3 linked regions of the Saccharomyces cerevisiae S288C genome follow. The gene in region 1 interacts genetically with each later gene. Each region holds a gene or a part of one and is shown on either strand. Other genes may lie near its edges. The genes, in order: BUR2, CTK2 and CAK1.

Evidence for each region.
Region 2: mutations in BUR2 (region 1) and CTK2 are lethal when combined (synthetic lethality), as found in Saccharomyces cerevisiae (one study listed by BioGRID).
Region 3: mutations in BUR2 (region 1) and CAK1 impair growth when combined (synthetic growth defect), as found in Saccharomyces cerevisiae (one study listed by BioGRID).

Annotation. Positions count from the first base shown.
Region 1 is NC_001144.5:587,448-591,052, reverse strand, and holds BUR2 (Bur2p), read right to left. Parts: upstream 1,700-3,605; coding exon 512-1,699; downstream 1-511. Other genes in the region: ADY4 (Ady4p), read left to right, coding at 1-491; YLR225C (uncharacterized protein), read left to right, coding at 2,135-3,358; UCC1 (Ucc1p), read right to left, coding at 3,480-3,605. UniProt on the Saccharomyces cerevisiae protein: Component of the BUR kinase complex involved in transcription regulation.
Region 2 is NC_001142.9:422,638-425,920, forward strand, and holds CTK2 (Ctk2p), read right to left. Parts: upstream 1,473-3,283; coding exon 501-1,472; downstream 1-500. Other genes in the region: YJL007C (uncharacterized protein), read right to left, coding at 61-375; CYR1 (adenylate cyclase), read left to right, coding at 2,520-3,283. UniProt on the Saccharomyces cerevisiae protein: Cyclin subunit of the CTDK-I complex, which hyperphosphorylates the C-terminal heptapeptide repeat domain (CTD) of the largest RNA polymerase II subunit.
Region 3 is NC_001138.5:77,413-80,875, forward strand, and holds CAK1 (cyclin-dependent protein kinase-activating kinase CAK1), read right to left. Parts: upstream 1,750-3,463; coding exon 643-1,749; downstream 1-642. Other genes in the region: AGX1 (alanine--glyoxylate transaminase), read left to right, coding at 1-576; putative ATP-binding cassette family ATPase CAF16, read right to left, coding at 1,932-2,801; GTPase-activating protein GYP8, read right to left, coding at 3,007-3,463.

The sequences.
Region 1 (3,605 bases):
CATCAGGTGTTCAATTTAAAGTTATCCAGTTTTTTTATGTATTAAAACTATACTATATGCAAGATAATGAATACACATTCGAAGCATCATCTGAAATGGATAAATTGACCATAGAATGCTTATGTATCATCGAAAATATTATTGATGCTTGTGACAATCCTGATGAAGTAACTGACTACCAACTACCTAAGGTACTGTTGACTGCTATGGAGGGGAAATTACTTGTTGCTGAAAAAATATCCGAAGATAATGACTGTTCAGAATCTCTGGACGATTATCATCCCCGAACTTACCAATTCAGACATCCCAGAATAATAATAGACAAGATGAAAACAAAATTGAAGCAGAAACTGCGCTTTGACTCACCTAAAGATCCAGAAACAGATGATCATTGGATTGAGTATTGGAAATATTGCTATCAGGATAACATAGGGAACTTGCCGGACATTTTGTCACGTATATATCAAACCTTTACTGATCCCTCCAATTAAACATAACTTGTACTCTATTTTTATATTTTAGGTTTTTTGGCATCTGGGGTTCTTATAGGATCTTTAGCCTTTCTCTTCATACTTTCTTGTTTAGCCTTATCTAGTAAATCTTTAACCCTTGTTTCAATATGATTCAAAAACTCTTCCTTCACCTCACCGGATTTAATCAACTCGTAGTTAAACGGATCAGAGATTTCTGAAACTTCATTTTCCACATCGCCACTTTCGTCAATCACCGAATCAATCATGCTTGAATCAATTTGTAATTTAGCACCTTTATTACTTTTTAAGTTGAAAAAATTCTCTTCCAGTAACTTGTAATCGGTAAAGATATTGGCAAAATTTTCCGGCGTTACTTCGATAGGGAATCTATCCTTGAAGAAGTTTTTCGGATATCTGAAATCTTTGTCTACAAGCTTTTTATACTCTAAACCACAGTATATGAGAGATAGTACAATGAACGTATAACCGTCGCACAATAAAGAAACTGGCTGGGTGACAGCTTGGACCATAAAATTTCTTGATTCTTGAAGAATTTTTGGAAAAGCTTTTTTAAAGTTTTCTGGCAGATTGTGATCCCTGTTGAATCTATAATAGCCACTGAACACTTCTTCAATCAATTCTTTTGGATTACTGATATTTAAGTCAAAGCCAAATAAACATAGTATTTTTTTTTCATTCGTCACTAACTTATCTCTAAATTCCCATTTAAGTTTATCAATATTTGTTCGACTTTTTAAAGACGGTATATTTTGCATCAAAAACTCACAAGTCGCCTTAATATAGGCCTCTATAGGCCTATTATTCTCCATTGTTTTGCAAGCGGTGACCAGAATTCCCTGTGATATATGAATACATTCAGTTATGGCTGTAGGTATTCCATATATGAACCAATACCTGTAAAATAGAATGCATGATGCCGTATAGGTGTGATCAAAAAGATTTAATTTTTTTTTAAGTGTGTAAAAGTACATTAAGCATTTTTCCATATTTTTTTTTATTTCCACTGCTATCGGTCCATTAGTGCCTATCTTTTCAATAATATCTTTGCACTCAAAAACCCACTGGTTTTCTGGTGTTTCTATCAAATCCGGCCATAGGGTCCTTGCGTTAAACCCACTCGATGCTGGTGGTGGTGATGCATTGCTCGTTGGTTTTGGTACAGCTTGAAATTTTTTCACGTCACCACTTGAAGATGTAGCAGACATTATCTTACTGTAATATATTTTAAACGAAAATACTACGGCCTCCTTCAATATGTGTATATAATTACCAATCAAAATAGCTACTTGCTTTCTAACAGAAATAGTGATACTTTTTAATCACTTTTCTTTTTTTACTGAACAGTGAAAAATAGAAGTCACAATGAGACCTAGGTCAAAAAGCCATAATGAATAGGGTTTGCAATAAAAAAGCTTTAAACGATAGGTCTGTTAAAGAGGATAAATAGGTTTATCATGTATCATTTGGTTTTTTGGGATAGGGCTTGGCAAAAACCATAACAGGGGAATGAGATTTTATATATAAATAGACAAGATAGATACTAAAATAGTGACGGATTCTCTCTAAATATTCGAGAAATTTTCAAAATTTTAGGGCAACGAACAGTTTAATTAACATAAAAATCATAGAGCAAAGAAAAAATGGCGGTTGCGATCAAAAAGGAGAAGACGAAATTTGCCCCCGTTAAGGAAGTTTTATCCGAGAAGGATCATGCTAATTATACTAAATTTCAGGATACATCGAAACTAGAATGGTTTTGCAGGACGTCAAATCACAAAAAGTTCAAGTCACATAGTTTATTAAAAGCAGTAAGAAATCCAACGGAAACAAGAATAGAGACACAAACTCTGTATTTTACGGATCTCACCAACGGCAAATGTGGATTAATTCAACTATTATATTCCAGTGTTATGGGCGGTATATACAAAGGTTTTCAGTTAAATTTCAAAATATTTAAAGCCAGCAGTGAGGAAAACTCTGAAGAAGACATTGATATATGGGAAAGCTTTAAAATTGATAATATCAAAGATTTTGATACGTTAAAAGTTGAATCGGACAATGTTACGTTTCACTTCGTACCTTTGGAAAATTCTTCCTCCAGTGGATTTGCTCAATTATTAATTAAGATAGATATTCCGAAGGGAAGTACAAGCTGTTTACTAAAAGATTTGAAGGTTGACATTACCGTAAATTTACAAGAAGGATTCATAATAAACCCGGACGGTTCCAATTATTACCTTGACAAGAGCATCAGCTTGGAAGAGTTAGCAAAAAGAGACTCTTCTAGTACGTCCAGAAAAATGATAAGACATGTTTTTGTTCCTAGAGGTTTTTGCAATGGTACCATCTCATACAAGAAAAACGATAAACCTGTGAAGCTGGACTTGAAGGACACGCCTATGTTGTATCTGGATGCTGTCCAGGGGCTAATACCCAATAAGGCGGCTAGTAAATGGAATTTTCTTTGTTTCAATGGTGAGAAGCGTTCGATGATGTGTATTGAATTCACCACAACAAAAGAATATGGCAGCACTACAGTGACTATATGGGCGGTTAGTGATAAGGACAAAATTTTGGAGGTCGGGTCAAGTGTAAATGATCATGCTGTTAAATTTCCATCTACAAAAGAGGATAAGCAAAATGGTTGGAAATATCCTACATCCATTTCATTTCCGCGTGGTTTTGAAGAATCTAATTTAAGATTAGTCAATAGGTACGATATAATGAGTGAGCTGCCCGCTTTCATTAGGTCTATTGCTGAAAATCTGGCAAACATGAAGCCATTCATTTACCAATTCTGCCAGAAGTCTAAATTCGATGACGATGAAGGAGTTTCCATCATTGAAAGTACATTTATCAATTGAAAAAAATGAAATTTGACTATACATATTTTCATCATTGCAAGAATATTATATCCATTTATAAGTAGGTAGGTGCATAGACGTATATACACATATATTATAGACTAATTGATAAATTTTTTTTTCATCTTCGAAGATAAGGGGTATTCCAGTTGGGCAATGCTATTTCTTGACCAAGATCTTGCTTTTGTTCCGGATGCTTGTAGACGAAAATTCTTATCAATTTGGATGGCTTGTAAGGTAAACCGTG
Region 2 (3,283 bases), on another chromosome or scaffold:
ATATATTATCATGTACGATGTACCAAGATGGCATGAAGATTGAGAAAACAGTCATCAGATTTAATAGATGCTGAAATGCCAGGACTGATAGTGTAACAGAATAATGAATGATATCATATAAATTGGGGAAACAATAATGACAATATTATGTGAAAATATCAATTCTCTTTTGTGGATTACAAGATCCCCTGGAGAACTTCTAGTATGTCCTGTATACCCGGTGCTATATCCTTTAATAACCATGGAATCCGCAAATATTTGATGTAAAGTTTGTTTTTCTTCCCCAACATCCTTTGTATGCTTCAGTAGCTCAGTAGGAAGAGCGTCAGTCTCATAATCTGAAGGTCGAGAGTTCGAACCTCCCCTGGAGCACATTTTCTTTTTTTGTGAATTAAACCTCGAAGCTCAACATTCATGTTTTGAGATAAAAAAAGGTACTTATTACTTGTGTAAAAGAAAGTTTATAATGATGATCTTATTTAAGTTTATAGTAGGACTTTCTATGCATGTCTTGTAGAACTATTTATGCTGGACTCGCCATTAATTAGCTCCAGTGAAAGTACATATCTTCTTTCTTGGACATTATTATCTCTAGTAATAGTGATATAAGGATCGGCATTCAACAGGTGATCTGGTATTTGCGGCAATCCAGATTCTGGTCCTGCGTTTTTTTTCAGTTCCATAAACCTTTCAACGCCAATCGGCAGCAAATCAGCCGGTAAATGACGTTGTAGATCGCACATATCGAATGAATTGATGTAAAAATTGACTATATCAAAATAAGCTTCATTTACGGATTTCTCGTCTGTTTCAAATAAAGAATACCTTTTACTTGACCAATTCTTATTATCTAGTAATTCATATGCTATTTTCAAAATGGCCAATGCAATGGAATGTTGGGGTATGACTAAAATAGTTTCTAGCTTCAAAGCATCATAAGCAATTACCCAAGCCAGATTGCACAACTTATAATCAAAGGATAGCTCCCTACCAATTTTTATAACATATTCATCAATATGAACGTAATTGTTGACTCTATAATCGAATGAGCATGACTCTAATATCCGAAGTTCTATTTGAAATACCCTTTTTTTAAAATTTTCCAAAATGTCCGTATTGATTTTAACCACATTCCTCAATCGTAATGACAAAGTACATATATCATTTGTTTTTTTAATTGTCTCAACTTCTTTACAGCCCAAAGTCAGGCAGCTTGTCGCTACAGTGTAGCAAACCTCGGTCTCGAAGCGATTAAAGAGGTGGTATCTTTGGTAAAAGTATACTGCTGTTTCTAAAGTCTTCCGTGGAAATTTCAGCTGAACACACAAGTCACTTAGAAATTTGAACACGGCAAGTTTTTTCTGGTTGTAATTTCGATAGTCCGATATTGTATTCTTTTGGGCTCTTTGAATTTGCCTTTTAGACAGAAACGGTCTCGAAAAAAAAAGCTGGGATTCAAACGTGCTAGGCATATCAAAGTACGTAATTTTCTTAGTTTTGCTGGCTCTATATCTCCTCTCGCTCTATAGATACAGATATATATATATATATATATATATCTATGTGTATAAAGACGGCTTTCAGGACAGTACTTGTTTGGATTTTTGATCATCGCGGATTTTCGCAATGCAAGTATAAAGAGAGCATTACCCGCCACACAGTGATTCTTCAGCAAGTTGTACCGAAAAGGACCATTTAGGTACGTGGGATCGCAAAGGTTCCCAAACGGTGTGCATCAAGCCGTAGACTTCATGAGTGCTTTCGGTGCAGCAAAAAGATAAGGACAAAAAATACTGAAGGATGCGAGGTTCGAACTCGCGCGGACAACCGTCCAACAGATCTTAAGTCTGCCGCCTTAGACCACTCGGCCAACCCTCCATCTTATTTAAAAATCCTAGGAAATAGATGTTATATAAGTCATACATCATTGAAAACATCAAATACCGTTCCCTGCGTTGTTCTACAGAAAAGCGCATTAGAGTAGGTCATACCCTTTAAAAAATGATTTTGTAAATGCCAGAAAGTAAACAAATATGCATTTCGCCTAGCTCCCAATGTAAATAGCCATAAAAAAGGATAAAATGCCAGATTTAGAGTCAGTTCTCGTTCTTCTTCTTCTCTGTGTTCAATTGTTCAATTGCATTGTTAATCACTGAAATTCTATGTTTCAAATTGGAATGGCAGACTGAACTGAGACCTTCCTTACTTTCTCCTCTATCAAACCTAAATATTCAATCATAACCTTATTTTTTCACTTCCTTTTTCTTACTTTTTTTTTTTTTTTTTTTTTGTATTTTGGAAGGAAAGCAGGGGGGACTTACCATAAGAAAAGCGACTCTAAAAAAGTGTATTTTCTTCCAAAGTTCAGTAAAGACAGCTGGGAAGTATAGTAACAGAGGAGAGAAAGCATAAGGAGACCTCTTGCTGCAGTTCACAACCAAAAATAGCATATCTTTACTATTGTCGCTAACCATTGCGAAACGAGCTAAAGCAACAGCAAACGAAATCCCTAGGTCGAAATGTCATCAAAACCTGATACTGGTTCGGAAATTTCTGGCCCTCAGCGACAGGAAGAACAAGAACAACAGATAGAGCAGAGCTCACCTACGGAAGCAAACGATAGAAGCATTCATGATGAGGTACCAAAAGTCAAGAAGCGTCACGAACAAAATAGTGGTCACAAATCAAGAAGGAATAGCGCATATAGTTATTACAGCCCACGGTCGCTTTCTATGACCAAAAGCAGGGAGAGTATCACTCCAAATGGTATGGATGATGTAAGTATTTCGAACGTGGAACATCCAAGGCCGACAGAACCGAAAATCAAAAGGGGTCCATATTTACTGAAGAAAACATTGAGCAGTCTTTCAATGACGAGCGCGAATAGTACTCATGATGATAATAAAGACCACGGTTACGCTTTGAATTCATCCAAGACGCACAACTACACATCTACTCATAACCATCATGACGGTCATCATGATCATCATCATGTTCAGTTTTTTCCCAATAGGAAGCCATCATTAGCGGAAACCCTATTCAAAAGGTTTTCAGGGTCAAACAGTCACGATGGCAATAAGTCAGGAAAGGAAAGTAAAGTTGCTAACCTTTCCCTTTCAACGGTAAATCCTGCACCTGCTAATAGGAAACCTTCTAAAGACTCCACTTTATCTAATCACTTGGCTGATAACGTGCCAAGCACTTTACGAAGGAAAGTGTCCTCATTGGTACGTGGTTCTTCCGTCCATGATATAAATAATGGTATTGCAGATAAACAGATTAG
Region 3 (3,463 bases), on another chromosome or scaffold:
GCCTTGACTGCTTCGCAAAAGGCTATTGGCGCTCCAGCGGGTCTTTCTATCTCGCTATGCAGTAGCAGATTCATGGATTATGCACTCAACGACAGCAAAAATGGTCATGTACATGGGTATTTTTCCTCGTTGAGAAGATGGACACCAATAATGGAAAATTATGAGGCTGGTAAAGGAGCTTATTTTGCAACCCCACCCGTACAACTAATTAATAGCCTTGATGTAGCCTTGAAAGAAATTCTCGAAGAGGGGTTGCATAAGAGATGGGATTTGCACCGTGAAATGAGTGATTGGTTTAAAGACAGTTTGGTTAATGGCTTGCAATTGACATCCGTCAGTAGGTATCCTTCTAACATGTCTGCGCACGGGTTGACAGCCGTATACGTAGCAGATCCTCCTGATGTCATTGCTTTTTTAAAGTCACACGGTGTAGTCATTGCCGGAGGTATTCACAAGGACATCGGACCCAAGTATATCCGTATTGGACATATGGGTGTGACCGCTTGCAACAAGAATTTACCGTACATGAAGAACTGCTTCGACTTAATAAAACTAGCTCTTCAGAGGAAAAAGTGATTACCCTCGTACTTTTCATTTCATATATATATATATATATATATATGTACCTATATATTCTTCTTATTATGGCTTTTCTAATTCTTGCAAGATTCTTTGACAGCTCCATCTTTCGTTTGGTGAAAATGAAACCATCCCCAGGATACAATTAATGAACTTCTGCTTGACTTTGACATCCGCAATCTCGTCCAGTCGAGGCATATTCCTCTCAACAATGCTAATCTGTACATCTTTCTCCTGGTCCAGTACATACTTGCCATCGCCATCTGCACCAAACATACCAACAAATGCATCAACCGAGCCGTGTTGCGCAACCTCTTCCCATTTCTGAATGGACGGTATGCCCAACTTTTCGAATATTGAGCAAATCAGTCTGAAATCGCTTCCATCTGAGTTCATGTCGTCGCTGCCGTCATCAATCATGGCCGGAACGTGCCCCATACGGCTTGTTTCTCTCTGGAACCACTGAGAAATAATTATCAACAACGACCACACGTCCACGCCACCATCATAGCATTTTACTCCAAAAAGCACTTCTGGGGCCTTGTAAATTCCTGTGCTTATATCCGTCACCTTGCTATCCATGGGTTCCGCACTTGTTTGTGAGTTATTTGCCATGTCATAAGAGATGCCAAAATCAATTATGTACAACTTTGGGGATACGGTGCTGGTATTGTTTGTTAGCATGATATTTTGCGGTTTGATGTCGCGGTGAATGATCTTGTTCTCATGTAAGAATGCAATCCCTTCAACCATTTGCCGGAAAAAGGACAAAGAATACCGATTGACGTCCAATTGATTAGTATATTTCTGAACGGGGGGGTCCGCAACAATTGGGATACTGGGATTTAGCAAATCGTAATAGGGATTTTTTTTTCTTCTATCTCTTTTATAGTGCATTTGCATGAACTCATAAAGGTTCATCTCTTCAAAGGGAAACAACAACAATAGGTCATTATTATCGGTAGCCTTAGACTCTAGAAGAGGTAAGATGTGCTTACATTTGTTGCCCAGTTTGTTTAATATCGATACTTCGAATTTGGCGTTATGTGGCGGGATATCGAAATCTAGTGCTAGACATTTAATGGCATATGTATCCGACCTATAAATCCTAGCAGTTCTAGTAGATTTGACCAACTGACAGTGTGTAATGTCTATACTATCCAGTTTCATTAAGATGGGCGTGAATTTTGTTGCCTCTCTTCTTCATCTGGCCTCTTTGCTTCTATGAGACTTCTGTCGTTTTCCTTTTTTTAGGATCACAAACTACTTCTATAACTTAAATAGTCAAATCACATTTTCCACTAAGATACATATTTTCTATACAGGGGGTCTTTGCAGTTATATATACTCAGTTATATACCAATCTCTTTGTCAGGAATTTGATTATCACGTTTCAACCATTCTAGTGCTAATGGATGCAAACTATTCACTTTACTAATAACAACCTTATTGTTGTCATTTTCAAAGGCCACTTGTCCATTAACTTTAGCATTGACCACTTCAGAGAACTCTACGTCTTTCTGATAATCTAAATTATCCACAATCTTACCTGATTTCATATGGTATACTTGGTTAGGCCATTTGGCCAAGCCGTCAAAAATATGTGTAGCGTAGACCACTGAGCATCTTCTGGTTTCGGTCTCCCACTTTAAAAACTCCAGAAGTCTTGCTCTGGCAATAACATCGAGATCCACAGTGACCTCATCAAGTAGTAAAACTCTCCAAGGTTTCAAGAGCCCCATGGCTAACTGAACTCTTCTCTTTTGTCCATCACTTAACCTGTGCATTCTCCAACGTACATCGATGTCCAGGATTCTAACCAATCTTTCACCTCTTTCCCTAAAATGATCGAATCCAATACTTTTTAATAGTTCCAAGACGCCGATATCCCTATTAATGATACTCATATGGCACCATTCCGTACCTAGATAAGTGGTCGTTTGGTAGTTCGTCGAATCTTCAACACTTTCATCATCGTCCACTTGATTCATAGATAATGGACTGAATGGATCAAGACCATTGACCAGGATTTTTCCATCAAGGCAAAGATGCTTACCGCTTAGTAATTTCAAAAGGGTGGATTTACCAGCACCATTGGCACCCACAACTAAAGATCTTGTATTCCATGGGATTTGAAGATTGATATCAACAACTGACGGATCGGAGCTTTCTTTGAATTTGTACGTTAGGTTACGCACCTCAATAGCAAATTGGGAAACCATCTTGAGAGTTATCTAATATCTTGATATCTTATGCAGGAGTACTGGTTTTCTCCATACTAAAAATCTCTCTTTCAGAATTTTCGTTTTTTCTTATTTGAGTCATCCTCGAAGAAATTTCCGCAGCGAATTTTAAAGAAGCACTTTATAATAATACCTTACATATGAGTTTGTTTCTATGTCATGGGTATATAAGGTATATTGTATGCTATCTAGTTGGATGCCCCAGTTTCAAAATGTCCCTAATCGGATCCACCCAGATGTGACTAACGTGGTGCAAATTTATATTTATATGTGATAAGTCTTTCAACTTTGTGGAGATCATGTAACGTAGATTGAGTACTAAACTCAACGACCTTGTAGTCCGTAATTGGTACAGGATAGCTACAATCCCGATAAGTAAAGAAATTTTGCTCCACCTGTTATATTTGGAGGGTAAAAAATGGCCAAGTCTTTGGACCAACGCCCTTGTCTTGGATCTGGCGGCGACACCATGATACTTTTCTTCCTTGTAATGCTCGTTCATCTTTGTTTGTTCGCTCAAATAGAAGATAATGGTGCTCATATCGAAGCATCCTGGCTTTCCACATGCTGTATTGAGTAATGCACTATATTTATTAAGACTCACCCGTTTCAAAGCCTTCTTGCTGGCAGTAGTCGCATCT